Linked DNA regions of Cricetulus griseus. The protein of the gene in region 1 binds, or shares a complex with, the protein of each later gene. Links are inferred from orthologs where the notes say so. Each region holds a gene or a part of one and is shown in the gene's direction. Other genes may lie near its edges. The genes, in order: Taf1b, Polr1b, Polr1c, Polr2k, Taf1d, Polr1h and Rrn3.

Region 1 (3,500 bases):
GTCTTGAAAAAGCAAAAAAAAAAAAAAAAGAAAAAGATTATTTCAGCTGGGTGTTAGTGGCGCAAGCCTTTAATCCTAGCACTTGGGAGGCAGAGGCAGGCGGATCTCTGTGAGTTCAAGACCAGCCTGGTCTCCAGAGTGAGTGCCAGGATAGGCTCCAAAGCTACACAGAGAAACCCTGTCTCAAAAAACCAAAAAAAAAAAAAAAAAAAAAAAAAAAGATTATTTTATTTCATGTATATGATGTAGGTGTTTGTCTGCATGTATATCTGTGTATCTTGTGTGTGCAGGTACCCTTAAAGGCCAGAGTCCGTGTTGGACCCCCCAGTATTGGAGTTACAGATGGTTGTGACCCACTATTTAGGTGCTGGAAACCAAACCCAGATCTTCTTTGAGAGCAGTCAGGGTTCTTCATTGCTGAACCAGCCTGGTAATGGCTTTTTATAGGCTAAAACCTGATTGATTTTTATTCAATTTTATCAGAGTAAAACTTGATTAATTGTAACTCATATATATAAGTAGTTAAAGTGTGATAGATAATTGAAAATACAATATGTTAAGAAAATGCTAGTTTTGTTAAATACAAATATATCAATTTGGAAATTGATGCAAATATATCATATTGGAAAAAAGAATATAAAGATAGAAACTTTTCACAGCTGGACATGGTAGTGGATGCCTATGCTCCCGGCACTTAGGAGGAAGAGACAGAGGCGGGGAGACGGATACAAGTTTGAAGCCCGCCTGGTCTGCATAGCAAGTTCCAGGCTGGGCAGACTCACACAGTAGGACCATATTTCAAAACAATACAAAACAAAACAAAAACAGACTGGAGAGATGGCTCAACAGTTCAGAGCTTTAACTGCTCTTCCAAAGGACATGGGTTCGGTTCCCAGCACCTATATGGCAGCTCACAACTGCCTGTAACTCCAGTTCCAGGGGGTTTGACACCCTCACAGACATACACACAGGCAAGATAGATAGATAGATAGATAGACAGACAGACAGACAGACAGACAGACAGATAGATAATTTAGAATAAAACAAAGTGTACGTACACACACACACACACACAAAGAAAGAAATAGAGAAAGAAAGGAAGGAGGGAAGGAAAGGAAGAAGGAAAAGGAAGAAAGAGAAAGACTATTTGAGATATAAAAATAGTCTTTTGGCATGTGTAAACAGAAATTGCATTATAAATTAGTAAATTAGAAATATGTGTATCTAAAGCTTGTTATTTGTTCTTTAGAAAAAGGCTGGGATTGGTATGTGTGTGAAGGTTTTCAGTGCATACTATACCACCAGGCAGAAGCCCTGAAGACCCTGGGAGTAGGTGCAGAGCTAAAGGTAAGTCATGAATGTCTAGAAGTTAGCTCCTCATTGTTGGAAGGGGGAGGTTTGAGTGGACCTGAGGAAGAGTCAGCAGGAAGAGCCGGGCTCTGCCCCTGAGTAGAAGTGTCGGCCTGTGTAACTTGTTTTCGTTCTGTGATCCTGATTGTAAAAGGACAGGCTCCATGGTTATCTTTAATGCCTATTCCATCTCCTAACTCCAAGATTATAGGAGTATCTTGAGGTCTGTCTTTAATCTCCAGCACTGAAAAGCAAAGCGAAGCATTTGTTGATTCAGTGTTTCCCATGTGCCCGGTAAAGAGAAGCAGGTGATCTGTGAAGGATGAGCACATGTGGTATAGCTGTGCCTGTGTCATGCCATCATAGAGATTCACCACTTGTTTCCCTCCCACCGCAGAATGAAGTTTTGCACAATCTTTGGAAGCGCTACCTTCAGAAGAGCAAGCAGGCCTATTGTAAAAACCCAGTTCGTACAAGAGGACGGAAAGCCAAGGTGAGCCATGGAGCCTGATGAACAGGAGCAAAATCTGCCTTGTGTGACAGAGATGAAGGTGCTGTTTGTGGCTGCTTGAGTCTGACAGTGGTGCTTGTTTATGGATTGTCAGGGAAGGGGCTCTGGTGCAATCCAGAACAATCCAGACCTTATAATGAACTGTGGCTTTCTTAGTAAACTAGTTGTAACATAAAAGCAATTATAACTCATCTTCCTTTTTTTTTTTAAAGATTTATTTGCTATGTATGTAATGTTCTGTATGCATGTATACCTGCATGCCATTAGAGGGTATCAGATCTCATTAGAGATGGTTGTGAGCCACCATGTGGTTGCTGGGAATTGAGCTTAGAACCTCTGGAAGAGCAGCAAATGCTCTTAACTGCTGAGCCATCTCTCCAGCCCTTATTTTATTTTATCTTCTTTTTGAGTCAGGGTTTCTCTTTGGAGGACTCCTACAACTCACTTTGTAGACTAGGTTGGCCTCAAACTTACAGATATTCTTCTGCCTCTGCCTTCTGAGTGTGGGATTAAAGGTGTACACTACCACCGCCTGGCTTCATCTTCCTTTTTAAAGTTTTTGTTGTTGTTTTTGGTTTTTTTTTGAGTCAGGATTCCACTCCATAGCCCAGGCTAGCCTTGGATTCTGGTAATCCTCCTGCTTCAGCTTTTCAAGTGCTAGGATTACAGCCATCACACCCAGCTCACTTGGAGAACTTTAAGGAATTTCTTCCTTGTTTGCCGTGTTGGGGTCAAATTTACAAGTTAGGAAAGCTCCGTGACTCTGAGCTCTACCCCTAGACTAGAAGAGTGGAGGCTCTCGAGGGACTCCTGTCATGTGGCTATTTAGTTTGTGGGGGTTGTTTGTCTTGTTTGTTGCTTGAATTTTTTACACATGTTATTCCTATTATTATTATTATTATTACTGTTTTTTGAGATGGGACCTTATTATTTATCTCTGGCTGGCCTTAAACTCACAGAAATCCCCTGCCTCTGCCAACCAAGTGCTGTGATTAAAGGAGTGTGCCACTACCCAGCTTACTTTATTTTATTTTGAGATAGGGTCTCATGTATCCCAGGCCAGGCTTGCTTGCTGTGTAGTCAAGGACACCCTTGACTTGCCTCCACCCATGAAGTGCTAGATTGAGAGACAATTACGCATAGAGAACCAAACCAAGGGCTTTGTATATGTCTGGCAAACAGTCTACTAACTGAGCCACGTTCCCTATCCTGACTGTGTCATTCCCTTAACATGACATTCCTGCCTACTTCACCCGGCATTTCCATACCTAGTCCCCTTATAATCTCATCTCAGACACTTTGAAGTGAAGGAAAGTCAGTCAGGCGGCCTATTAGAGCTGCTCTGTCTGTGAGCAGCTTGTTCTGAATTGCTTCAGAAGTGTGCTGTGGTACCTTTTGCTTGGAATAGAGCACAGTCTGCAGAGAATGGTGAGTGTACCAACCACAGGGCTAAGATGAGAGTCTAAGTCCACGTGACTCACGTTTGGTAGAAACTTGGGAGCGTAGCCGAGCACTTCCTTGTTTGGTCAGGTCCACATAGGTCTGTATACAAAGGTCAGTGATCCAGGAGTGAGAATCCCTGGTCAAGATGAAAGGAATAAGTTACAGAGGTGAGCAAAGGAGGCGCCTCTGAGCCTCA
Region 2 (3,500 bases), on another chromosome or scaffold:
GGTATCAAGCAGTTAGCAGCACACTCTTTATTATTAAACGTATTTTCCTGTGTTTATCTAGTCCAGATTTCTAGTCAGCAAAGCTTCCATGCAGTCAACTTTTTTTTTTTTTTAAACTTACCATTTTTATCTTTAGATTTTGGAATAAGTTTTGTTTCAATGGTGGTTGGAAATTGGAATAATTTGGGACAGAGAGACTAGTTTAACTAGTCTAGTTACAAGTCTAGAGACTGTCTAGTTAGAAGGAGTGGCCCTGTTTTCCTGCCTTCCTGTTCTGTGTCTATTGGACTCCGGTTGTGTATCTGACGAGACTTTCTGGAACCTGTACTGTTTCTAGAGATGGGGCGTCCCTTTCACCAATGTGTACCTCTTCATGTGGCTAGAAATAGCTTTGTGTTTACTTTGTCATATACTTTAGTTTAACAGATAATAACCCTGTCTTTGGCAGGAAATGGGAGGTTATTTTATAATCAATGGCATTGAAAAAGTCATCCGAATGTTGATTATGCCTCGGAGAAATTTCCCCATTGCGATGATAAGACCAAAGTGGAAAAGCAGAGGGCTTGGCTACACTCATTTCGGTAAGTTTCAGTGAACATTAGGATGTTGTTTTGGACAACTTGAAAACCATTTTTTAAAGTAGATACAACTATATACAATCTTTTTCCTTTCTCCTCCTCTTCTTTTTTTTTTGTTTGTTTGTTTGTTTTTGTTTTGTTTTTTTGGTGTGGTGGGGGTTGTTAAGACAGGGCTTCTTTGTGTAGCCTTTGCTGTCCTGGAACTGGAACTCATTCTGTAGACCAGCTATCCTCAAACTCACAGAGACCTATCTACCTCCCCGAGTACTGGGATTAAAGGAGTGTGCCACCACTGCCTGGGCTGACTGTACACTATACAGTCTTTAATGTGTTTCTCTTACATGATTTTTATTTGTTTTGCCATAAGCATTCTGTAAGATTCGGGGTGGTGTTGGTTGGGGAAGTATTGATCAAAGTATAGACTTTAAGTTTTGGGCCAAGTACGGGGCTGGGACATGGTTCAGTGGGGAGGTGCTTTCTACAGAGGCATGAGGGATTGAGTCCCCATCACCTACATCTAAAAACAGGAACAGAAGGGTATGGAAGTACACATCTGTAATCTTAGCACCGGAGGGGAGGGAACAGCGGTTCCAGCCAGTTTAGCCAAGAAGAAAGTTCCAGGTTCAGTGAGAGACCCTGTCTCAAAAGAAGCAATTAAGGAAGACATCTGGACACACTCACACACACACACACACACACACACACACACACACACTCTCTCTCTCTCTCTCTCTCTCTCTCTCTCTCTCTCTCTCTCCCTGTGCTTTCAAGGTGGAGAGTACTTCCACCACACATGTGTGAACACACATGTATACTATCTAATGCTAGTGTATAGCACTATGAATGATATCGTTAATAATACTGTGTTAATTATTTAAAATTGGAAAATGGAGTGGATTTTTAAGTGTGTTGATCCCGTATACACGTACATGCACATTTGGTAACTAACTATATGTGGTAATTGATGTTTTAATCAATTTGGTTATGGTAATTGTTATGCAATACCTAATAAACCTGTAGTAAATAGAGAGTACTGTACATTAAAAATGCACTTAGAGGGGCTGGAGAGATGGCTCAGCAGTTTAAAAGCACAGATTTGTCTTCCAAAGAACCTGAGTTCAATCCCCAGCATCCATGTTGGGCAGCTCACAACTGCCTGTACTCCAGCTCCAGAGCTTGACACTTCTGACCTCTGTGGTCATCTGCCCACATGGGAACACATGCACACATATAAGCACACATAATTTAAGATAAATAAAAAAATTTTGTTTAATTTTTAAAAGATGCACTTAGAGCCAAGTATGGTGTTTCACTGAGGCAGGTGGATCTCTGAGATTGAGGGCAGCCTGTTCTACACTGTGAATTCCAGTACAGAACAGTCAGTGCTACATAATAGACCATATCTCAAAAAACAAATTATGTAGAGGCAGGGACTGGTTTGGTGGTAGAGTGCTTTGTAGGTAGAGTTTTTCTGTCCCACAGCCACCCTCAAATAAACATATGAGGCTTATATTAATTATAACTGTTGGACTCATAGCTCAGGCTTATTACTAACCAGCTCTTACAACTTAAATTAACCCATTCTATCAATCTACATTTTGCTATGTGGCTTTTACCTCTATCCCATTTTGAGTATCTGATTCATTCAGCATCTGGCTGATGACTTCCTTCTTCCTCCCAGCATTCTCTCTGTCTCAGGCTCATTCACCCAATCTCTTCCTGCCTATCTATTGGCCAGTCAGCTTTTTATTGACAATGAGAGCATTACATATTTACAATGTACAAAGATTGCTTTACAGCTTGTCTAACCTGCAGAAGTTTCTGGGCTCATGCTTGATGCCACAGAAGTAACAGTGGAGTCAGTGCGCTAACCTGCAAACATAGTAGCTTAGCTTGGCAAGCCTAACTATGCTAGAATACTTATTAACACATTAGCATGCACTTTGGAAAAATCACCTAAAACAAAGCCTGTTTTATGAGCAAGTGTTGATCATCTTGTGCTCATACACAGATTGGCTTTTTGTACACTTGATGAGCTATGAAAACACTGTATTCAAAAACATTGGCACCCCAGGATGTTGACGACTATAATTTGTTTTCCTTTTTGTTCTCCTGGCTGGTTGGGAGCTATGGCTCACTGCTGCTGTCCCAACATTATGAGAAAATACACAGCATTGTTAGCCTAGGGAAAGGTCTCAATTCAAAAAGTGAAATGTAATTTCTAGTGAATGGACATGGCTTATGCACCCTGGTGAAGCTGAAAAATTGCAAGTGGCTGGTGGTAAAGTTGGTGCCATTGTCTGTGTATACCGAATCACTTTAATATGTATAGTGTTTATTACCTAAGAAAAGGAAATATACCCAGAAAGTGATTTCATAGTGAGAACCTTTGTCTGTTTTTAGTCTGGATGACTTCATGTAGTTCTGGTATTGCTTTTGAGGATGAAGGCTGACTTGACTTAGCACTTGTGTCCAAAGACATGTTGGGTCCCCTGGTTTAGACTGCCTTGGCACACCCTCAGGGGACTGGCCTGTGTTCGATGCCTGTGACAGTGCCTGGCATTGTAAGATAGCATATGGCTTCTCTATTAACTTCTGTAATATTATACAATGTATCATTTATAATTGAGATAAAAATCAGACTTTAGTAGTTGCCATGGATACAGCACCTAGGAGAACAGTATCTCAGCATGTCAAAACATGTAGTCATTGGTTCTTTTGCTTTGTTGATGTGAAGTTTGAGTTCTGCTGTTCTCCATCAGGGTGTTAGGTGAGTGACCATCTCTTGACCAGTCCCATATGGTTAGTGTGCATAGGACGTGCGCTCTGCAGGGTGATCCAAGTATAAGGTGTTATGGGACCCAGCTGATGGTAAACTTGGTCAAATTCAGAGCTTCACCCATTTCACAGTGTACCCCAGAA
Region 3 (4,104 bases), on another chromosome or scaffold:
GAGAAGACTCCTCACCTGCTTCGGACCTGAGCAGGCTCCACATCAAAGTAGGGTCTCAGGATGTCGATGTTGGCATACAAGCTGAAGGCTCTGGAAGCTTGTCTCTTCCCTGCCTGCCACATCTGAAGGGAGATGGGTATTATGAAACTGGTGGCTCTAGACTGTTAACGTTACACAGCCTTTGCCAGATTTCTGTGTGGTTCTCCCTGGAAAACCTACGTCACCTTGGGACACACATGGGTCCACTTTCCCATCTGCTTACCTGATCAGCCACCTGTCGGCTCAGCTGTCCCTTAAAGCCTTTCATGCCCAGAAACTCGCCATCCTCCTCTTCTGCAGCAGCTGCGTCGGCATCCACTTCTTCCTCACGCAGGCGCTGATGCAGCTCCCCCATGTCCTCGAAGCTGGAGCCTGACGTGTCATCCATGTTCTCCATGTCAATCACGGCCGAGCCCCCGCCCTGTGAAGACAAAGGCTGCTAGAGAGCGGGGCCTTCTGTTGCACCCTTCTGCTCTCTGCTCATCGCACGGTTTGAGGCTTTGCTCTCCCACTGATGAGGACATTGGAATTGCTACCCATCGTGCCAAACTCCTCCTTGTCACTGCTGGCACAACTCTTGTCGCCACACTTTTGTGGTTCAGAAAACACACTACTCATCTTCAATTCACGTTGTTTTCCTACCTTCCCCCTCAAAGCTTCGAAGTGCTGCACCGGGGCCGACCTGCCGCCACCCACCTTCAAGCAAGCCTATGTGCACACAGGCCACCTTTAGGGGCTCCAGGGAATCAATCCTACCCTCTAGCCCTGCACCTGCCTGACCCAGACAGGCCGCCCAGCCACGGAGACCCGAGGCCCGCTGCAGCCTCGGCCTGGCCCTTCCTCCTCAGCACAAGCGCTACAGACCTGGGCGTGGGAGACTCAGCGGCCACCACTTGCAATGGAGCCGACTTCCAGGCCGCGAGAGGGGACGGCGGCCAGCCCGGGGGCTGCCGGCAGCCGGGACACCGCTCCATACCTGGATGTTTTCTTCGAAGCCTCCCCACTCCGGGCCAGCTCCGTTTCGGACGCCGCTGGCCGGCGCCGCGGGAGTCGCCATGTCCCTCGAGGCTTTCCGTCGCTGAAGCTCGCGGGCGTGGGACCAGCGTGAGACCCGGGCCGGAGAGAAGGAGGAAACGTCCAGGAAAGAGAGAGGGCGAGGTAGTATCAGCCGGAATGCAAACAGGAGAAACCCGGATGTTTGGCCCCAATTGACGTCCGGAAGTGAAGGACGTGGACGGGGCGGGGCAGGATATCGCGACATTTATAAGTTCAGGAGGCGGGGCGTTGCCAGGGAGACGGCAACGGGCCCCTAGTACGCCTGCGCGCACCGGAGGCGTCTCGAGGCGGGTGGTGGACGATGGCGGCGGCCCAGGCCGTGGAGGAGATGCGGACGCGCGTGGTTCTGGGAGAGTTCGGGGTTCGCAACGTGAGCTCGGAGCGGAACTCGGGAGGGTCGGGGGCGGGATGGGGGAGGAGGAGGGGAGGGGACCTGGCTTGCGGCTTGTCCTCACCGCCCCGCTGAACACATCTGTTGGCTCTAGGTCCACACCACCGACTTCCCCGGTAACTACTCGGGTTACGACGACGCCTGGGACCAGGACCGCTTCGAGAAGGTGGGTGCGCGGGAGGTGTCCCGGCGGCCCGGGGACCAGACGGCTCACGCTCGCCGCGTTCCAAAAACGTGTGCTGAGCCATCCATGTGCTGGGTGCTGGGTGGCCAGGCCGCCCGGGTGGGGTGAAGGCCCACGTGATCAAGGGATCCCGGTGAAACACAAGAGCGGCGAGCACGGCCGGGGTGCGGGAGAGGAATCCCGTAGGTGACTTAATCCGGTCCGTCGGAGAGACGGAGACTCGGGTCAGTGAAGGAAGACTGGCCAACAGTTAGGCCGTGCAGGCCTAATTGGAGCATTGTTGCAAACGCTTGTTTGCGCAGAGCCTGCTCCAGCAGTTCATTATCGCCAGATGTCAATACATTGGCCCGAGTGGTAGACAAGACCGGGGTCTATCTTTTTCTCTTTGAAAATTTATTTGTATTTTATGTACATTGGTGTTTTGTCCGAATCTATGTGAGGGTGTCGGATCCTGTTGTCAGTTACAGTGTTGAGTGCTGGAAATTTAAACTCGCGTCCCTGATTGGGGTGTTATCTTAAGCTCTGCAAGTTAATAGAGAGCTCTGTTGTTTTTTTTTTTTCGAGACAGGGTTTCTCTGGGTATCCCTGGCTGTCATGAAACTAGCCTTTCTGCCTCCTGAGCGCTGAGATTAATAGCATGAGCTACCTCGCCTGGCTTAAAGAGAATTTTTCAGTAGACTGATCTAATTTTGTAACCTTCATAGCTGGGAGGGAATGAATAAATTCCACTGGTAGTGGAAATGGAGCAAAAGGAGAACTAACAGCTATGTACCATATAGCTTTGGTGAGGGGTGTGTGTGTGTGTGTGTGAAAAAGGGCCTTGTGATGTGGGGAATTTAAGGAGTTTTTTTTTTGGGGGGGGGGTTATGTGTTTACCTGCATGTATATTTGTGCATTTGTGTGACTGGTGACCCAGGGAGGTCTAGTTAGGTCCCCAGAACTGGAGTTATGCATGGTTATGAACCACAGTGTGGGTGCTGGGAACCAAACCCAGTTCTTTTTCTTTTTTCTTTTTTTTTCTTCTGTTTTTCGAGACAGGGTTTCTCTGTGGCTTTGGAGGCTGTCCTGGAAGTAGCTCTTGTAGACCAGGCTGGTCTCGAACTCACAGAGATCCTCCTGCCTCTGCCTCCCGAGTGCTGGGATTAAAGGCGTGCGCCACCCAACGCCCGGCCAAACCCAGTTCTTCTGTAAGAGCAGTCAAATGCTCTTAACTGCTGAGCCATCTCGTCAGCTCCATTAGGGAAGTGTCTTGATGGCTGATTGTGTCAGTTGATAAACAGGAGAAAAAGAGTGATAATATGTTCAAATTCCTGTATGTGAAGTCTGTAGGTCAAGTGAATGATGCCTGAAGTGAGATCAAAATGAACCCAAGTTTGGGGAGTTGCTGAGTAGTTGCTTAAGCCAGGAGTGTGATTGAGGTCAGCCAAGAGATTTGAACCTGGGAGAAAGTAACATTTACAGGGTGAGAGGAAGAATTTAGAATATCAGATAAGAGAACTAAATTGGTGTTCAAAAGTCAAGGGAGTAGAATTTGAAAAAAGAGGGATTGAAAAATAAAAACAAATGCAGGACTAACTTGTCTAAGCAGTGTGGGACGTTCTGCTCTTCAGTGTAGCAGCTTCTGTGGGTTGTTTTTGTGGAGCCATATTGCCTAGGGTCTTTTTTGGGGAGAGGGCGGGGGTTGAGACAGGATGTAGCTTTGGAGCCTATCCTGGCACTCCATCTGTAGACAAGGCTGGCCTGGAACTCACAGAGATCTGCCTGTGTCCCCCTCCCCCCCACGCGCGCGCGCCCAGTGCTGGGATTAAAGGTGTGCACCACCAATGCCCGGCTTTGCTTAGGGTCTTAGTGATGTACACCTTTGATCCTAGTCCATAGAAGATAGGTAAGTATTCCTGTGAGTTCGAGGCCATTGTGGTTTACATAGATAGTTCCAGAAATGCTAGGGCAAGGTAGGGAGACCCCCCCTTATTTTTTAATTTAAAAAAGAAAGAAAACCAGCCAGGCTTCTTACAAAACTCAAGAACAGGGCTGAAGACAAAAGTCTAGTGATCATCTGGTCACAGGAAGGCTTTAGGATGAGAGAGGGTGGACATACATGGAGGGACATTGCCAGGGTGGGAGTAATCACAGAGGGAGGCTTGAATTACACAAGAGAAACAGGTGTTCCATCAGTTTTTTCTCTATCCCTCTAGAATTTCCGTGTGGATGTTGTTCATATGGATGAAAATACACTGGAGTTCGACATGGTGGGAATTGATGCTGCCATTGCTAATGCTTTCCGGAGAATTCTGTTAGCTGAGGTAAAAGAAGACGTGTGGGTCTCTTATTTCCAGGTAGGGAGATCAGTTGGTGTTGCAGTTGGATGATTCTGCTTTTTTGAACAGGTGCCAACAATGGCAGTGGAAAAGGTTCTGGTTTATAATAACACATC
Region 4 (4,040 bases), on another chromosome or scaffold:
CTGTGAGTTCGAGGCCAGCCTGGTCTCCAGAGTGAGTGCCAGGACAGACTCCAAAGCTACAGAGAAATCCTGTCTCGAAAAAACCAAAAACACAAAACAAAGAAACAACGAAATCTTAAAATCTCAGACGTCTAATGTAAGCCCCCTGGAAGCTCAGGCCTCCAGAATCCTTTCCCAGGACTGCGGCCATCCCAATCATCATGAGGAGTCGGAAACTTGATGCAAACAGCAAGAGGCTTTAATGAAAGGTAGACGTTTGTACGAAGGGGCTCTCTCAGCATGCAGGCTAGAGAGCAGCCCCGTCCCCCAGGCACAGGCCTTTTTAAAGGCAAAAACCACAAGCTTAGGGAGGGGTGTGACCAGAGTCACAGGTGCCTAAGAGACCCTTTGTCTTGAGGAGAGGGCTGGGAATCAGATGGCCTCCTGACCCACCAGCTGTAAAACCTGCAGACCTCAGGATATGCTTAGCTTGCTTGAGCAAATGGTACCTATCTCTTTGTTTCACAGGGACACTTAATTGTTAATGATTGACACATTGGCCGGTGGGGCAATCTGTTTTTTTCATGAGCCCCTCGGGGAGGGTGGCCATCTGGGAATTCTTGGTACCCAGTTATATTATGGCCTTGTAAGGGAGTAATTGCTTGCGGCTGGTAAATTCCAGGCCCTAAGTCCTAATAGTGGCCTTAGTTTCCGAGTTAGGCCGCCCTACATTCAGTTTGGAGAGTTTCCTTATCTGGGCTATATTTCTTTGCTAATTTTTAAGTCTTTCACTAGCAAGTGAGAAGCCACACCACCCTTTCTCTACAGCCGGGGCTTAGCCCGGCAGACACACCTGACCGCCCTAGGATTGGGGAGACTTTGTAGCGTGGCTGAGGGCGAGCGTTTAACAGGCTGCTGGGCTGTGTGCGGAGGAAGCAGCTCAAGCGACCGTTTTCCTGAAGATTCACCCCTGCGAGCCACCGAGCTAAGCCAACGGTCCTGAAAAAAAGTATTTTTAATTGACATCTCCGGGGCCTGGGGGAGAGCCGCGCGCTGAAGGGCAGCCAAACAAAAGAGAACCCTGTGCAAACGGCGACGAGCAAATGGCGACGAGCAAATGGCGACGAGCCCGAGTCTCGAACCCGCGACCGCCGCCGGAGCGAGAGCTGCTTTCGGCTTCCGCCGTCGCCTGTGCCCAGCCCGGGCTCTCGGCGGCGGAGGGGACGGGGCGGGGGCGGGGCTCCTGCGCGTCATTAGGCAGCGCCGGAAGCGCGCGGTCCGCGCCGGTAGTGAGTCCGTCACTGAGGACGCGGGGGAACGTTTGTGTGCGTACCGAGACTCTGCTTGGAGCCGCGGAGGTGAGAGATCGGTCTGAGGGCAAAAAAACTGGCTTTAGAAGGTTTTAGAAAGTTCCCGGGTGCCCGGGAGAGCTGGCTCCACGCCGCCTGGGCGCTCGGGAAACGGAGGCAGGGGACTGCCGCCTTCAGCAGACGGACGCCCGGGCTTTGGGGTTGGCTTGGGCGATGAAGTGAGTTCCGGGCCAGCCTGGGCTACCAAGTGGGGAGCCTCTCAAAGAGCCAAATAAACGTAAATAAATGGTCGGTGACTGGGCTGGAGGGGCGGCTCAGAGGTTAAGAGCGCCGATTGCTCCTCCAGAGGTCCCGGGTTCAATTCCCAGCACCCACATGGCAGCTCACAGCTGTCTGCAACTCCAGTTCCAGGGGACCTGACACCCTCACACCAACGCACATAAAATAAAATAAATTTAAAAAATGATTTATGACAAGATCCCCGGCGGAGTTAGCGGATTTTTGTGGGTTTTTTTTTTTTTTAGTTTATTTGTTGTTTGGTTTTTCGAGACAGGGTTTCTAAGTTTATTTTTATTTTTTGTGCATTGGGTATTTTGCATGGATGTCAGCTGGGTGCCCTGGAACTGGGGTTGCACACAGTTGTGAGCTGCTATGTGTGTGCTGGGAATTGAACTCAGGAGGAGCAACCGGTGCTCTTAACCTCTGAGCCATCTCTCCAGCCCCCCCCCCCTTTGCTTCTTAGTGTCGGGAGACGCTGGGCACACAGAGAGCTGTGCTTAGCCTCGGTTTCCCCGAGTGTAAAGAGTGATGCCCTCTGGCACCTTCAAGAGTGTCGTAGACCTTCGAGATGGATTCTGTGTTGTTGAGAATGTGTTTCCTCCTTCAGACCCAGCCCACAGTTGGTGGGGAAGGGGGGGTTTCAAATAAGGAATTATGATTTTTTTCCCCCTCATTCTGTAATACTGGGGTTTGATCCTCGAGCCGCTGTGTTCTGGGCAAACATTCTACACCTGAGATTTTCTCTTCACCCCGGAATCAGGACCTTGCGTAGCTGCTGGGGAAAAGGGAGCCTGGTTGGTTTTGTGTGATGATCTTGTTATTCAAGCTTTGGCTCTGATTTCAGGCACTAGCAATGGACGCGCAGAAAGACGTCCAACCCCCAAAGCAGCAGCCGATGATATATATTTGCGGAGGTAAGATTAACATTTAAGTAGGAACGTTTTTTGTTGTTGTTTTGGTTTTTTGGTTTGTTTGGCTTTTTTTTTTTTTTGCTTTTGTTTTGTTTTTTTGAAACAGGGTTTTTCTGTGGCTTTGGAGCCTATCCTGGAACTCACTCTGTACACCAGGCTGGTCTCCAACTCACAGAGATCCCCCTGCCTCTGCCTCCCTAGTGCTGGGATTAAAGGTATGTGCCACCAATGCCCTGCTTAAGTAGGAACATTTTACCTCAACTTTCCATATATGAGTACTGATCTTCAAAGTTATAAAGCGGAGCACTCAGGAGGCAGAGGCAGGGGGATCTCTGCGAGTTCAAGTGAAACACTTTAGCATCATTAATGTAAAAGTCCCTCGTTAAGATTTGTCTTTTCATCAGGAAAAGGTACGCTGCCGACAGCTCTTTTCTTTCCTCCTTGGTGTATTTAGTTTCGGGGCTTTGACTTGCTCTGGCGAAGTCTGTGGTTATATTTGGTTCCCTGTAGTGTTTCTCTTTCAGGCATTGACTGAACGTGTTTTATTCCCTAGAGTGTCACACGGAAAATGAAATAAAGTCCAGGGATCCAATCAGATGCAGAGAATGTGGATACAGAATAATGTACAAGAAAAGGACAAAAAGATGTATCCTTCTGACTGGGCTTTCTAAACGTAAAGAGGAATAACTAATACTCGGTTGATAAAGACCAAGTTCTGACAAAAGTAGCAACTTTTGGGTTGTTTATTTTTCTAAGCAGATTGAATGTGACTTTATTAATGAAGAGTTTATTAACTGAGAATGTGGGGGGCTCTGAAGGACGTAAATGTATATTATTTTAATATGAATTATTTTTCACCAAACTTGGAGAAAAGAGGCAGGCAGAGCTTTGTGAGTTCAAGGCCAGCTAGAACTACTAAGTGAGACTCAGTGTCAAAAAAAACAAATAGGGGCTAGAGAGACTCGTCAGCAGGCAGGTAAGGGCATCGGCTGTTCTTCCAGAGGACCTGTGTTCTGTTTCTAGCACCAACATAATTACTCATGATCCTCTGTAACTCCAGTTTCGGGGGTCTGATCCCTTTTTCCGACCTCCACCTGTACAAAGGACCCAAGTGTGTGTGTGTGTGTGTGTGTGTGTTTAAAAAACCCTGTAAGTGATTTTAGCTTTTATTTTACTTTTTTTTTTTTAGTTCAAATTAGAAACAAGCCTACTTCGATTGTCAATCCCTGCTCCCTCCTCTCTCTAGCCCTTCACCAACTCACCACATCATCCCCCCCTCTGCTCCCCAGGGAGGGTAAGGCCCTCCATGAGGTATCCCCAAAGTCTGTCATATCGTTTGGGATAGGGCCTAGACCCTCCCCCATGTGTCCAGGCTGAGAGAGCATCCCTCCACGTGGGATGGGCTCCCAAAGTCCTTTTGTACACCAGCTCTTTTTTTTTTAAGTAAACATGATTAGTGTTTTCGTGCCATTCATTATGGGCTCTAAGTAATTAAAAAATTAATCAATTTGGGTTTATGTAAATGTTTTTAGTTTTTTCAGGAATTCTTTGTTAGAAGTAG
Region 5 (4,138 bases), on another chromosome or scaffold:
CCCGAACACTCAGTTGGTTGCTGGCTGGCTAATAAAGTTTTTCTATTGGCTTTTAACCTATGTCTGAACACTCTTCTCTGGTGAACGCCCCACAACAATTCTGCTCATTAAGTTCTTTTCTTTTTTCAAGACAGTTTCCTGGAACTCACTCTGTAGACCAGATTGGCCTTGACTCATTGATATCTGCCTGCCTCTGCCTCCCAAGTGCTGGGATTAAAGGCCTAGAAGCTCATTAAGGTTTTTTTATTTTTTTATTTTTGGTTTTTTGAGACAGGGTTTCTCTGTGTAGCTTGTGCTGGCCTCCAACTCACAGAGATTCGCCTGCCTCTGCCTCCAGAGTGTTAGGATAAAGAGTGAGGTGAACCTTGGCAGGTTTCATGGCGGGCGAGGTTGACCGAGGCCAAGGGACAAACATTCCAGGCAGACAGCTTAAATGAAGTTTTATTAGGAAGAGGCAGGCCAGCATAATGCCTGATCCTTACACCCAGTGCTGGGATTAAGGGCATGAGTCACCACCGCCTGGCAGTACACAACATAAAGATGGTAAAACTTGTATTAATAATTCTAAATTTTCCTTACTTATGGGGAAAACATAGTCTAGGCTGGCCTGGCAATCCTCCTTCAGACTCTCCAGTTCTGCGATTTGCCACAGTTCTCAGCTATTTGTCACTTTCGTTTTGAACAGGACCCTGCAATTTAAGTTTGCACTGGTCCTGAATGTGACAGTCTGAGATGCCTGTCTTAGAGCTTACAGCGAATGCACTGGCTGCTTGCAAGTACAGCAAGACCTTACTTTTAAGGCGTGTCCAATCATAAATGATAACAACTGTTGACTAAGGGCAAGCAGATCTGCTGGCTTGCTTGTCATACAATACAAAGGTGCAGCATGGAAAATAACTCAAAGCAGCTCACTACTGAAAAGAAAGTACTGTAGGGCTAAAAACTGTTTAGCCCTACACTGTTGAGTCAACTCAGGATCTGAAGGAGGAAGCCCATGCCTGCTGGAAGCTAACTCCTGAAGGGTGGGGTGCCCAAAGCACCTGGCACCCTTCCTCTGAGGGGGAACTCCGCACACAGTGGGCTCGGCCCCACAACATGCGGACGCTCACCTGACCCGCAGTGTCTTCACGCCTGCAGGAATGCCTTCTTCCCTTCACCTACCCAAGTTCAACGTCCTGCTCCCTTCCGCCAGCTCAAAGCCTAGGGGCGAGCCCGGTACCGCCTCTCGCGGAGGCCCCGCCCACTCCACAGTCCACGCACATAGCCACGCCTAGCACGTAGCCGCGCTCTCGTACCCACCCGCCGCTAAGAGCTCACGCGAGATCTCGGCCTGCCCTAGTCGGCTGCTGCGAGCTGGAACGTTCTTTTGGTCGCGGTGGAGGAGGGAGACGGGTGTGTTTGCGTTGGGCGCTCGGGTCTGGCGCGATCGGTCGGTGCGGGACTCGGAGACCGCGCGCGGGCCCGGGCTCTTTGGGCGGCTGTCCGCGCGCAGTCGGCGCTGTTGTCGGGTGAGGCGCAGCGGGCCACGCGTGGCTCCCGGTCGCTATCGGTCGCTGCCGGAAGGTTTTAGAGTGTCCCGTCGGGGCATTGTGCTGGTGCTGCCTTCCTAGGTCGAGAAGACCGCACAGGTAGGACTGATTTCTAGATAGGTTCCTCGTGTGTACTTGGCCATTACCCTTAGAATTTTCTCCGCTCTATCGTTGGTGCAAACGGGCCAAGTATGTTACGTTGCAATTTTGATGGGCTAATACTAAAAAACAATGGGGAATGGAGAAATGGCTCTACAGCTAAGAGCACCAGCTGCTCTATCAGGGGACGTGGGTTCAATTCCTAGCAGCCACGTGGTAGTTCACAACCATTTGTAATGGGCTCTGGTTCCTATTTCTGGTATGGGTGAAACCAATGCACTATCCGTAAAATAAGTCCCCTTTTAAAGGAAAAAAGTTAATAACCCGGGAGGTGGTGGTGCATTTCTTTAATTACAGCACTCAGGAGGAAGGCGGATCTTGAGTTCGAGGCCCCGCCTGCCTCTACCTCCTGGGGTTAAAGGCGCGCACCACCACCTGGCCAGTTGCGGCCCCTTTAAAGCTGCCTTGTGGGTGCTGGGAATTTAATCTGTCCACTCAAGAGCAGTCAGTATTCTTAAAGCTAAGCCATCTCTTCAGCTGACTCACCCTAGAGGTTCTATTGTTGGGATTACAGGCCCATTGGCCATTCGGGAAATTGAGGCATACACACTGAGTGGCTAAAAATTCAGCCTTCCTAGGGTAAACATCCGAATTAATGCTGTTTCACTGTGTGGCTGGCTGGTAGTAAAGCCACTCAGGTACTTTTGTTAAGTAGAATTAGAAAACACTGATTTGGAAAGTGGTCTCTCCTTTGCTTTCACTTGTAGATTAGAATTGAATGTGTGGGTATCCAGGAAGCCAGAAACATGCCATGTTGAAGTTGTGAGCTACCCAATGTGAGTGCTGGGAACTGAACTGTGGAAGGTTACACTTTAACTGCTGTGCTCCTCACGTGGATATTTTTTTTTTTAAGACAAGGTTTTTCTATATTGAATTAGAGCCTGTCCTGAAACTAACCTGGAACTCACAGGTCTGCCTGCCTCTGCCTCCCAAATGGCTGGGATTAAAGGCGTGCACCACCAACAGCTGGCTCACTTGGATGTTTTTAAAGATCTAAAGTGGACTATCCTTAGGTCGATTTTACCTAAAGTCACATGGTGGTATGGTGTATGTTGAACTTTTCATTAGAATGCTAGGTGCATCACACTGAAATTGTAATTGCAGAGATCGAGTAATGGCTCAATCAGAAGTGACTTCTGTTGACTGCATGACACCTGATAGAGCTGCAGACATTGGACATCAAAGGTAAGGCAGCTTTTGTGACTAAACACCCTAGAGTTGAGTCTAACTGTTCAGATTGACAGGTCTCAGTAGGTGGCCTCATTCAAAGATGATCCTGCCTATTTCTCCCAAGAGCTGGAATTAAAGGCTTATCACCACACCCATTTGAAAATGTTGGGTATGATTTTGGGGGAGCTGGCTTTGGAAGAAATGTACACTTAAATTTTTAATGTCTTCTCTTATGTGACTTATGAGTGAGTGCTTTGCCTACAGTCAGTATCATGTGTTCAGAAGAGGGTGTTGAACTCCATGAAACTTGAGTTACTAATGACCATGCTGCCTGAGGGTACAGCCTTGCCACTCGTGAATTGGATTGTTTCTAGTAACGACTCAGTGATGCAGTTTATTTTATTTTATTTTTTTAGCGATGACTCATCTGATAGCTTATTTAAAACACAGTACGTTCTTTCACCTACACGAAAGCAAAGAAACCCTACGACAAAACGTGTCACTTTACCTGCAAATGTTGACACTGACACATCAAGTGACTCCTCTATAGAACCAAGGCTTTTGACTTTAAAGGCTATTTTTGAAAGATTTAAGAAAAAGAAACGGAAAAAAAGGAAATACAAGCCAAAATTAAGACCAAGAGGAAGACCACCTGGAATAAAAAATGCTAGAAACCCTAGAAGGTCACAGATAGGTGTGAAGCAAATTAAAAACAAAGGAGCTGTGTTTCCATTCTTAGAATCTGAAAATGGAAGAAAACCCTTACCTTGGAAGAAAATTTTAACATATGAGGTGAGTCATTCTCATGTAAGTGAATACACTAGGAAATTGGAATGATTGTTGCCCCCATCTTTTCTTCCTGGTTTTTCCAGACATAGTTTCTCTGGGTTTGGGTGTTGTTGGCCATTTTTAATTTGAGGTCCACCTGGGACACATTTTGTTACTTTGACAATAAACAATGTGTTCTGTGTAAAGTCTGCTCAGGTTCCAGTGTTTCTGAGTGCACTGTTTTTAGTGTGTATACAAACTTAGAGAATAATGGTCCAAGTCTGTAAATGTACAAAATACCCTCATCTTAGTCTCTAAACTACTCTCAAGCATATCTTACCCAACTTTAAATTAAGTAGCCCATCAAACCAGTCATTTCAAAGTAAGCAGATGTTATTTCGTTCTTTTTATTTTTTATGTCATTTACTTTTTTGGGGGGGTGTTTCGATACAGGGTTTTCTGTGTAGCTTTGGAGCCTATCCTGGCACTCCTTTGGAGACCAGGGTGGCCTC
Region 6 (4,020 bases), on another chromosome or scaffold:
CAGGTAATTTGTTTTTAGCACATTCATTTTAAGTTCTATATATCTTCAAGGATGAATTTAAAAACATCAATGAATAAAAGTTCATCCCCACAATGTAACTGCAAATAGTACCACTTAGAAATACATTCTTGGATGCCGGGAGGTGGCTATGAGTGGGAGTACATGAAGCTTTCTGGAGTATGGTGATGTTCCACTTTTCAGCCTGAGTTGTTACGGGGCTTTACTACGAAGCCCACTGTCTTCTGGCTCCAAATGATCCTGTCTAAGCTCTGGGATTACAGGCATTTACCAACCTACCAAGCTTAAAGAAAATGTTTTCTCTCATGCCTCCTGATCTGAGGTCCTAGGCTAGGGGTTTCCTCTAGGACTTCATAATCCTGCATCCTGCTTGGTCCTTTCCTTCCCATAGCTGGAAAATGATGTCCTTGCTCTCAGATCATTTCTCCAGGAATTGGTTCTCACCATTCCATTCTGACTCCTAAGTCTAGCATTTTCACTCTCTTCACTTACTAGAGCAGTGGTTCTCAACCTTCTTGATGCTGTGACCCTTTAGACAGCTCTGGATATTCATGTGGGTGTTTCTGCATGGGCATGAACTCATGTGGAGACTGATAGTGAAGGGACCAGCTTCCCTTTCAGCAGCCATAACAGCCGAACACATGCTTGCCATAACCTTGTCTTGGTCACTTAGAGGTCAGATGCCTGCCTAGTGACAAGGAACCAATCAGAAGTTAGTCACTAGAAAGTCAGATGCCTGCCTCGAGACAAGGAACCAATCAGAAGTTAGCTGGTGGCGCTATACTTTATGACCCAGGGTGTGCTTTATGGATAAGCACTCAGCAATGACGCACAAAGCATAGCAACCACCCTGGGAGGGCCTATGGGCCATAACAACCAGTTGGCCAATCAACACAGGGCAAGCCCTCCAAGGCTGGAGGCACACCAATAGTGAGCCTGTGCATACCCCTAGACACTCCCCTTACGCTGCCCTGTAAGATCTCTTGGGAGACCCTAGGAGCTGTCTTTTGCGAGCCATCTGCCACGGCGGGTGGGTAAAAGACCCGAGCTAACATGGGGTTAGCTTGTTAAATTACAATAAAGCCTCATGCAGTTTGCATCAAGCTCTCGAATCCGCCTGGTGATTGGGGTGACCGAGAATGTGGCCTGGGACCCCGGATACCTGAGTTTTCCGGGGGGTCTAACATTTGGGGGCTCGTCCGCGATTTGCGACCACCCTTCACCTGAATGGATTCGATCTTGGAGGTAAGATGATTCGAGCTCGCAACTTATATGTTCAATGTTATATGTTTGCTTGTTTTTGTTGGTTTGGTGCCACTTGAAATTGCTCTTTTGTTGATCTGAGCCTGCGCAGGACTCGTGATTTGTAATTTGGACTTCAGGGGGAAATAGACATATTTCAAAGTCCCGTCCTGGACAAAAGTCCGAGGGCTATTTGAATTGAACCATAGGGTAAGCAGACGTGCACAGAAATAGACGTATTTCTGGAATCCTTGGTTCCGCCCTGGATGAAGTCCAAGGGTTGTTTGTAATTTTGGTTTGGGGCACCATTTCTTTGCCACAGGGTTTGTCCTGTCTGATGTCCTGTTTTGCTGTTGGTGTCTGTTAAGCCTAGAGGATTGGAATGGGCTGGGTGACTGAACAGTTGAGCAACAGGTTTGTTATCTGTTATCTGATCTGTTGCAGCCCACACCCTAACCGTCTGCTTGTGTGTCAATTTTACTATTTCTGTTAATTTTGTGGATATGGAGGTCCTATGTTGGGGTTTCTGGCGACATCTGTGAGTAGGCCTACAAGAATTGTTTAAGGCGGAAGTTCGGGCGGCAGCCTTCCGAAATCTATAGGGGAGACTTGGTTTCGAACCAAGTTGATCTCCACGGGGCTAGCCATCTGAAATTCCGAATAGGACCCTAGTCTGTGTTAAACATCTCTTTCTGTCCCTACTGCCCATGCACATGGAATGCATGGGTCAGGGGTCTTTTCTTGATGCTCTGAGCACATGATGCCACCTCAACTGTGATCAGCAGATGCGCCCGGAGGACAGACTGCTGCTCTGAGGACACCCAGGAGGTACGAACGGAGGCCAAGGACTTGGATCCTCCTCAGTTAGTGATGATTGTAGCCGCTGGGTTCTGCAGCCCATCTTCCGTCGCCATTGCCTTATAAGCGGCGCGGGCGGATTGGGTTGGCGTCTGTTCTTTCCTGTCTATTCTGTGTTATCATCATTGGTTTTCAATTCAGGATCCACCACACCACCCCCTTTCTATCCCCACCTGCGGGTCTGTGAGGCATGCCAAGTGGGGCTGTTTCTGCCCCAGCTGCCATCCTGCCTGCCAAGGGAGTTTCCCTGCTCTGAGGGAACATGGCTGCAAGGCCCGCCATCTGCCTGGCTGCTCGGCCTTCTCTGTGCTCCACACACATGGTATGCAGGGGGACCGAGGGGGTCTTTATCCCATTATCCCACCCCTGCATTGGCCAAGGGTCTGGGGTTACCACCAACACCCCCACCCCAGGTCTCTGCCTTGAGCACATGGAGCTGGGGCGTATGAACTTATCTGGCCTGATCCGGACTTCTAAAAAAAAAAAAAGGCCTTAAAGTTATTAAAAGTTATTAAAAACTGTAAAAGGGACTTTGATAAAAATTTTTACATTGACTGAGAAATGAGAGAAAATGTAGGAGACTTAAATAATAAAGAGAAAAAGGAAAAAGAAAAATTTGTCTAAGAATGTCTAAGAAAATCAGAGGAAAGAACTATAAAAAGTTATAGAAAGTTAAAGCAAGTCATAGAAGGTCAGAAAAGAGATTATTAAAAGAGAAAAATGTAAACTGTTTGCTATGGTTTCTCATGTCAACAAATAGTAAATTTTAAAAATGGTAATATAAGTTAAAATTTTAACCATATTAAGCTAATTCTGTTTTTAAAAAGTCCTGTTTATTTCTCAAGTAATTTATGTATACTTGTTTTAAAATGTTCTTTTTCCTGGTATAACCTAAGTTCTGTTACAAGCATGTTAAGCAAAGGGTGCAAGTTATGGCCATTTTGTAACCAGCCACATGGCAAACTGGTCACATGGCTGACTGGCAGCCATTTTGCTGAAGTTGAAAAAAGATACTTAAACCGCCATCCTGACTAAAGATGACCGCGTGGAAATTAGAGGTTCCATCTTAGAAACAAGCTTTTCAGTTAAGATTTAAAGTGTTAATGCTTCTATATATTACAGAAAGATATTAAGGGAATTTAAATTTCTTTTTAAAACCAGTTTTTTAAATGTTTATTTTTATTAATGTTTGTACTTAAAGAGCTTCAATTTAAAATTATTTTTAAGCAAAGCCTGACAATGTAAAATTCTTGTTTTATAAAAGCTGCTAATCTATTATAAGATGTTTATCTTTTCAGAAGTTAAGTTTAGGGTGTTGGTGGCACACGCCTTTAATCCCAGCACTCCAGAGGCAGAGGCAGATGGATCTTTTTGAGTTCAAGGCCTGCCTGGTCCAGCATATTGAATTCCAGGACAGGGTCCAAAGCCACAGAAAAACCCTGTCTCATTTGAGCAAGCAGCTAAAATGTGTACTTGTAGCTACTGTTTAAGGACTATAATGTAACCCTATGCAGTCTTAAATTCAGCTGTGCTAAGTTTCAAATATTTTACTAAGTTAAAACCAGTTACAGTCAGGCTGAAAATTAATTACAGAAATGAGACCTCACCTAGCCACCTGTATGTTTCTTGTGTGCTTAAGGTGAAAGACCCCTGCCCCTTAGCCCTTTCTTTCTCAAGTTTGTCTCCTCTTCCTCCTGTCGGCGGCTTCCCCGATCCCCACCCCCGGCGGCTTCCACTTCCCCCGCCACCAGCCGCACGCCCAGCCCGAGAACGAGCACCAGGTGGGCTGGCCCGAGAACGAGCACCAGATGGGCTGGCCCGAGAACGAGCACCAGGTGGGCCGGCACGAGGGCAAACACCAAGTGAGCCGGCCTGGAGCCCGGCCCCTGAGCCCCCGCCCGA
Region 7 (3,500 bases), on another chromosome or scaffold:
ACATGTCATAGAGCCTTGCAAATAATAACAAGATATGTCCCATCGTGAGTATTTGTTGACTTTGAATTATGATGTTTATTAACAGGTTGGGGCTTAGTTCTAGTAGGTCACCTGCTTGTAATGTGTGCACACAGCTTTGGAAGGAAGAGTAGATGACAGAGTGTTATAGCATCAAAAACTGCATTGTATTGCTATTTCAGTTTTATTGATATCACATGTTGAAAATTGTTTCTGTTTTTTATTCATTATGTTTGTTATTTTAATTTGTATTATTTTATTAATTTATTTAAAGATTTAATTTGTGTGAGTGAAGGCACAGGTGTTGAAGTGTGCCATGGTTCTGGTTAGAGGACATCTATTAGTAGGTTTCATTCTACCACATACCTGTAGCTCAAACTCAGATGCCAGGCCTGGGGGCAAATGTCTTCCCTCTGAGTCACGTGGGGCCTGTTTAACTATTTAACGTAATTAATTTGCACATAGTGCTTCTACCTCAATTTTGTATAGAAGGTGGGGTTTTGCTTTTATCTTCAACAGATGTGATATTCAAATACTTTCACTGAGAACCTGTATGTATACTGCCATATGGATAAAATTCGGTTATCAAAAGGCAGCAGACTTGAGGGTTTCTTTGGCAGTATAGAATATCAGTGATACCTTTATTAACTAAAAATGGAGCTGGGGAAAAGTATTGTATATGTGGAACCGCAACAGTTGGGAAGGTAGAGGCAGGAGGATCAGGCATTCAGGGCTATCCTTGGCTACACACAGTTTGATACTAGTCTGGGCTACATGAGACCCTGCCTTCATCAAAAAATACCAAGTTAGTGATACTTTGCCTCTTTAAATAATATACTTATATATTGATACGTGCTCTTTTTTGTTTTTTTCTGGTACATGTTCTTAAACTAAAGTCTGTTAATCTTTGGTAGAAGAAAAGCCTTCTTTTGACGTGCTGCTACTAATAAAGCTAATAGAGTATTTTTATGTAAGTTGTTTTAGATTTTTTCTCTGAAACTCCTTGATTTGGGCCTTTAATTGCTTGAGGTAGGGTTCCTTTTTTTCCTCTTATATCCTTATTGTTCTTAGAAAGTCCAAGTAACATGGATTGAATTTTTTTTTTTTTCTAATAGGACACCATGGTTTCTAATGCCGATATTGGTAGACAAATTTCCATTTGTGAGAAAATCAGAGAGAACACTGGTAAGAAATTTTTCATGGAAAATTGTTTTGTGACTTTATTTTAGATGTTGTTGTTATTACTATTATTATCATCTTAAAAATACCTTTCTGGATTTTTAAACTCAAGACTCCATTGTGGTGTAGGCCTGTGATCCTGACACTTGGGAGGTTAAGCAAGAGGTCTTTGGCAACTTTGAGGCAAGCCTGAGCTACAGTGTGAGACCACATCTCAAATAAATAAATAAATAAATAAATAGAGAAGGTGAAGAACATCTCTCATATTCTTTTCTTTTTGTTATTATATTTCCTGAAACAGGATCCTAATGTGTGGCTCAGGCTAGCCTCAAGGCCTCCTAAGTGCTGGGATTATAGGTGTGAGCTGCTACTGCTCCTGGTGTCTTGATTCCTTTCCTGAAACATCTTCTGTGTTGAAAACTTACTAGGGAGGCTGCAGATGTAGGTCAGTGGCAGAGTGCTTGCTTAGCATGCATAAGGTCCTGGGTTTGATTCCCACCCCCCCCCCTGAATAAATTAAAGGGGAAACAAAAAGCTAGAGTTTGCAGAGGTATTAATGTATTACTAAGTAGAAATGTTTACTGGGAGTGATTAGATTAATTATACTCAACACATGTAGATTTGAACAGTGTAGTTTCTGAACTAAGAGTCCCTTTTCTATTCATGTATTTAAAGTAAACCTTGTGTAATTGATGTTTTGCTTATCCTGAAATACTGAGCTGAATTGTTCATCTTCTGTCTCATGCTTTAGGAATGTTATGTTCATAACTTACTAAGGATAAGTGTGTATTTTCCAACTTTGAGGCGTGAAATTCTGGAGCTTATTATTGAAAAGTTACTCAAGTTAGATGTAAGTATTGGATCACCTGTATTTTTTCTCTGTTTTCATTTATGGATTATAAATCCATAATCTCAGGGAGTGGCGCTACTAGGAGTTGCAGTTTTGTTGGAGTGGGTATGGCCTTGTTGGAGGAAGTGTGTCACTGTGGGGGTGGGCTTTCATATACTCAGGATACTACACAGTGAGTCAGTTGATTTCCTGTTGCTTACAAGATGTAGCAGTCTCAGCTCTAGCACCACTTCTGCCTACATGCTGCCATGCTCCCTGCCATGATGATAATTGACTGAACCTCTGATTAAATGTTTTCTTTATAAGAGTTGCCATGGTCATGGTGTCTCCTCATAGCAATAGAAAAAATACAAACTAGGACAAATAACAACAGTGGAAAACAGTCTAGTTATTTGCTTCATTCTAGTTATACTGCTTGAACTTCATCTATTTTCTGACAATTGTAAACAGTTTAAGTGTCACATCACACCTGTTAGGTACACTGGTGAAGGGCTTGCCTTACAATGTTTCAACTTCTTTCTATACAACATTCTGCTTCCATGTATATCTGCACAACAGAAGAGGGCACCAGATCTCATAAAGGATGGTTGTGAGCCACCATGTGGTTGCTGGGAATTGAACTCAGGACCTCTGGAAGAGCAGTCAGTGCTCTTAACCTCTGAGCCATTTCTCCAGCCCCTGTTTCAACTTCTTTATGTGGTGTTTTGCACCACCATTATGTTGCAGCACTTTGTGAGATGGTGATGGATCCCTTTAAAATATGTAAAGTAAGCTGGGTGTGGTAGTGCAAACCTTTCATCCCAGCACTCAGGCAGAGGCATCCCTGGGAGTTTGAGGTCAGCCTGGTGCACAGTGAGTTCCAGGACAGTCTGGGCAATGTAGAGAGACCTGTCTAAAAAAACCAAACAACATAGTATGTAGCAGGCTTTCTTTTGGGCCATCAAACAGCTTCCATCATGACACAGAGACTTACTAGTTATGAATTCTCGACCTTAGCTCTTATTTTTCTTTATTTTTTTCAACAATGTTTTCTTTATTTACAAGTTAGAATCAAGAGAAAGAAAAGATAGTCCAGGGGGTCAAATGGAGAGGTGACTAAAATCCCCAGGCCCCAAATGGAGTGGAAGAAAAAGGGAAGAATATAACATAAAAGTCCAGTAAAAAAAAGGAGCTCCCTCTTCTTCCCTCCCCACTCAGGCTGGAGGGAGGACTTAGCTCTAATTTTAATCTGTTTCTCTTCATCTACATTTTGTTTTGGGGCTTTTACTTGTCCATCTCCTCTCTCTCCGCTCCGTCTCCCTCTTCTTTCTTCTAATATATCTTACTTTCCTGCTGTCTGCCTGGCTTGTGGCCCTGGGTATATCGTGTCCCTCTCTTTTTCCCTCTCTCCTCCCCTCTTCCCTTTTGCCTAGATTTCTCCTCCTACTTATTCTCTCTGCCTGCCAGCCCTGCC

What was found.
Region 2: Taf1b (region 1) and Polr1b share a complex: the UniProt entries of both Homo sapiens proteins name them as parts of the pol I pre-initiation complex. The link is inferred for Cricetulus griseus from reciprocal best matches to the Homo sapiens genes TAF1B and POLR1B.
Region 3: Taf1b (region 1) and Polr1c share a complex: the UniProt entries of both Homo sapiens proteins name them as parts of the pol I pre-initiation complex. The link is inferred for Cricetulus griseus from reciprocal best matches to the Homo sapiens genes TAF1B and POLR1C.
Region 4: Taf1b (region 1) and Polr2k share a complex: the UniProt entries of both Homo sapiens proteins name them as parts of the pol I pre-initiation complex. The link is inferred for Cricetulus griseus from reciprocal best matches to the Homo sapiens genes TAF1B and POLR2K.
Region 5: Taf1b (region 1) and Taf1d share a complex: the UniProt entries of both Homo sapiens proteins name them as parts of the transcription factor SL1/TIF-IB complex. The link is inferred for Cricetulus griseus from reciprocal best matches to the Homo sapiens genes TAF1B and TAF1D.
Region 6: Taf1b (region 1) and Polr1h share a complex: the UniProt entries of both Homo sapiens proteins name them as parts of the pol I pre-initiation complex. The link is inferred for Cricetulus griseus from reciprocal best matches to the Homo sapiens genes TAF1B and POLR1H.
Region 7: Taf1b (region 1) and Rrn3 share a complex: the UniProt entries of both Homo sapiens proteins name them as parts of the pol I pre-initiation complex. The link is inferred for Cricetulus griseus from reciprocal best matches to the Homo sapiens genes TAF1B and RRN3.

Annotation. Positions count from the first base shown.
Region 1 is NC_048600.1:27,158,102-27,161,601, reverse strand, and holds part of Taf1b (TATA box-binding protein-associated factor RNA polymerase I subunit B), read left to right. Parts: intron 1-1,249; coding exon 1,250-1,347; intron 1,348-1,747; coding exon 1,748-1,843; intron 1,844-3,500. UniProt on the Homo sapiens protein: Component of RNA polymerase I core factor complex that acts as a GTF2B/TFIIB-like factor and plays a key role in multiple steps during transcription initiation such as pre-initiation complex (PIC) assembly and postpolymerase recruitment events in polymerase I (Pol I) transcription.
Region 2 is NC_048599.1:49,464,757-49,468,256, reverse strand, and holds part of Polr1b (DNA-directed RNA polymerase I subunit RPA2), read left to right. Parts: intron 1-448; coding exon 449-581; intron 582-3,500. UniProt on the Homo sapiens protein: Catalytic core component of RNA polymerase I (Pol I), a DNA-dependent RNA polymerase which synthesizes ribosomal RNA precursors using the four ribonucleoside triphosphates as substrates.
Region 3 is NW_023276806.1:255,712,608-255,716,711, reverse strand, and holds the start of Polr1c (DNA-directed RNA polymerases I and III subunit RPAC1), read left to right. Parts: upstream 1-1,304; 5' UTR 1,305-1,396; coding exon 1,397-1,465; intron 1,466-1,580; coding exon 1,581-1,652; intron 1,653-3,865; coding exon 3,866-3,973; intron 3,974-4,057; coding exon 4,058-4,104. Other genes in the region: protein YIPF3, read right to left, coding at 16-122, 263-460, 1,016-1,096. UniProt on the Homo sapiens protein: DNA-dependent RNA polymerase catalyzes the transcription of DNA into RNA using the four ribonucleoside triphosphates as substrates.
Region 4 is NC_048603.1:15,288,356-15,292,395, reverse strand, and holds the start of Polr2k (DNA-directed RNA polymerases I, II, and III subunit RPABC4), read left to right. Parts: upstream 1-1,240; 5' UTR 1,241-1,337; intron 1,338-2,412; 5' UTR 2,413-2,421; coding exon 2,422-2,482; intron 2,483-3,032; coding exon 3,033-3,125; intron 3,126-4,040. UniProt on the Homo sapiens protein: DNA-dependent RNA polymerase catalyzes the transcription of DNA into RNA using the four ribonucleoside triphosphates as substrates.
Region 5 is NC_048597.1:128,814,693-128,818,830, forward strand, and holds the start of Taf1d (TATA box-binding protein-associated factor RNA polymerase I subunit D), read left to right. Parts: upstream 1-1,338; 5' UTR 1,339-1,628; intron 1,629-2,792; 5' UTR 2,793-2,802; coding exon 2,803-2,873; intron 2,874-3,274; coding exon 3,275-3,650; intron 3,651-4,138. UniProt on the Homo sapiens protein: Component of the transcription factor SL1/TIF-IB complex, which is involved in the assembly of the PIC (preinitiation complex) during RNA polymerase I-dependent transcription.
Region 6 is NW_023276806.1:228,752,233-228,756,252, forward strand, and holds the start of Polr1h (DNA-directed RNA polymerase I subunit RPA12), read left to right. Parts: upstream 1-1,220; 5' UTR 1,221-1,263; intron 1,264-4,020. UniProt on the Homo sapiens protein: Core component of RNA polymerase I (Pol I), a DNA-dependent RNA polymerase which synthesizes ribosomal RNA precursors using the four ribonucleoside triphosphates as substrates. Can mediate Pol I proofreading of the nascent RNA transcript.
Region 7 is NW_023276807.1:74,971,884-74,975,383, forward strand, and holds part of Rrn3 (RNA polymerase I-specific transcription initiation factor RRN3), read left to right. Parts: coding exon 1-44; intron 45-1,133; coding exon 1,134-1,203; intron 1,204-1,948; coding exon 1,949-2,047; intron 2,048-3,500. UniProt on the Homo sapiens protein: Required for efficient transcription initiation by RNA polymerase I (Pol I). Required for the formation of the competent pre-initiation complex (PIC).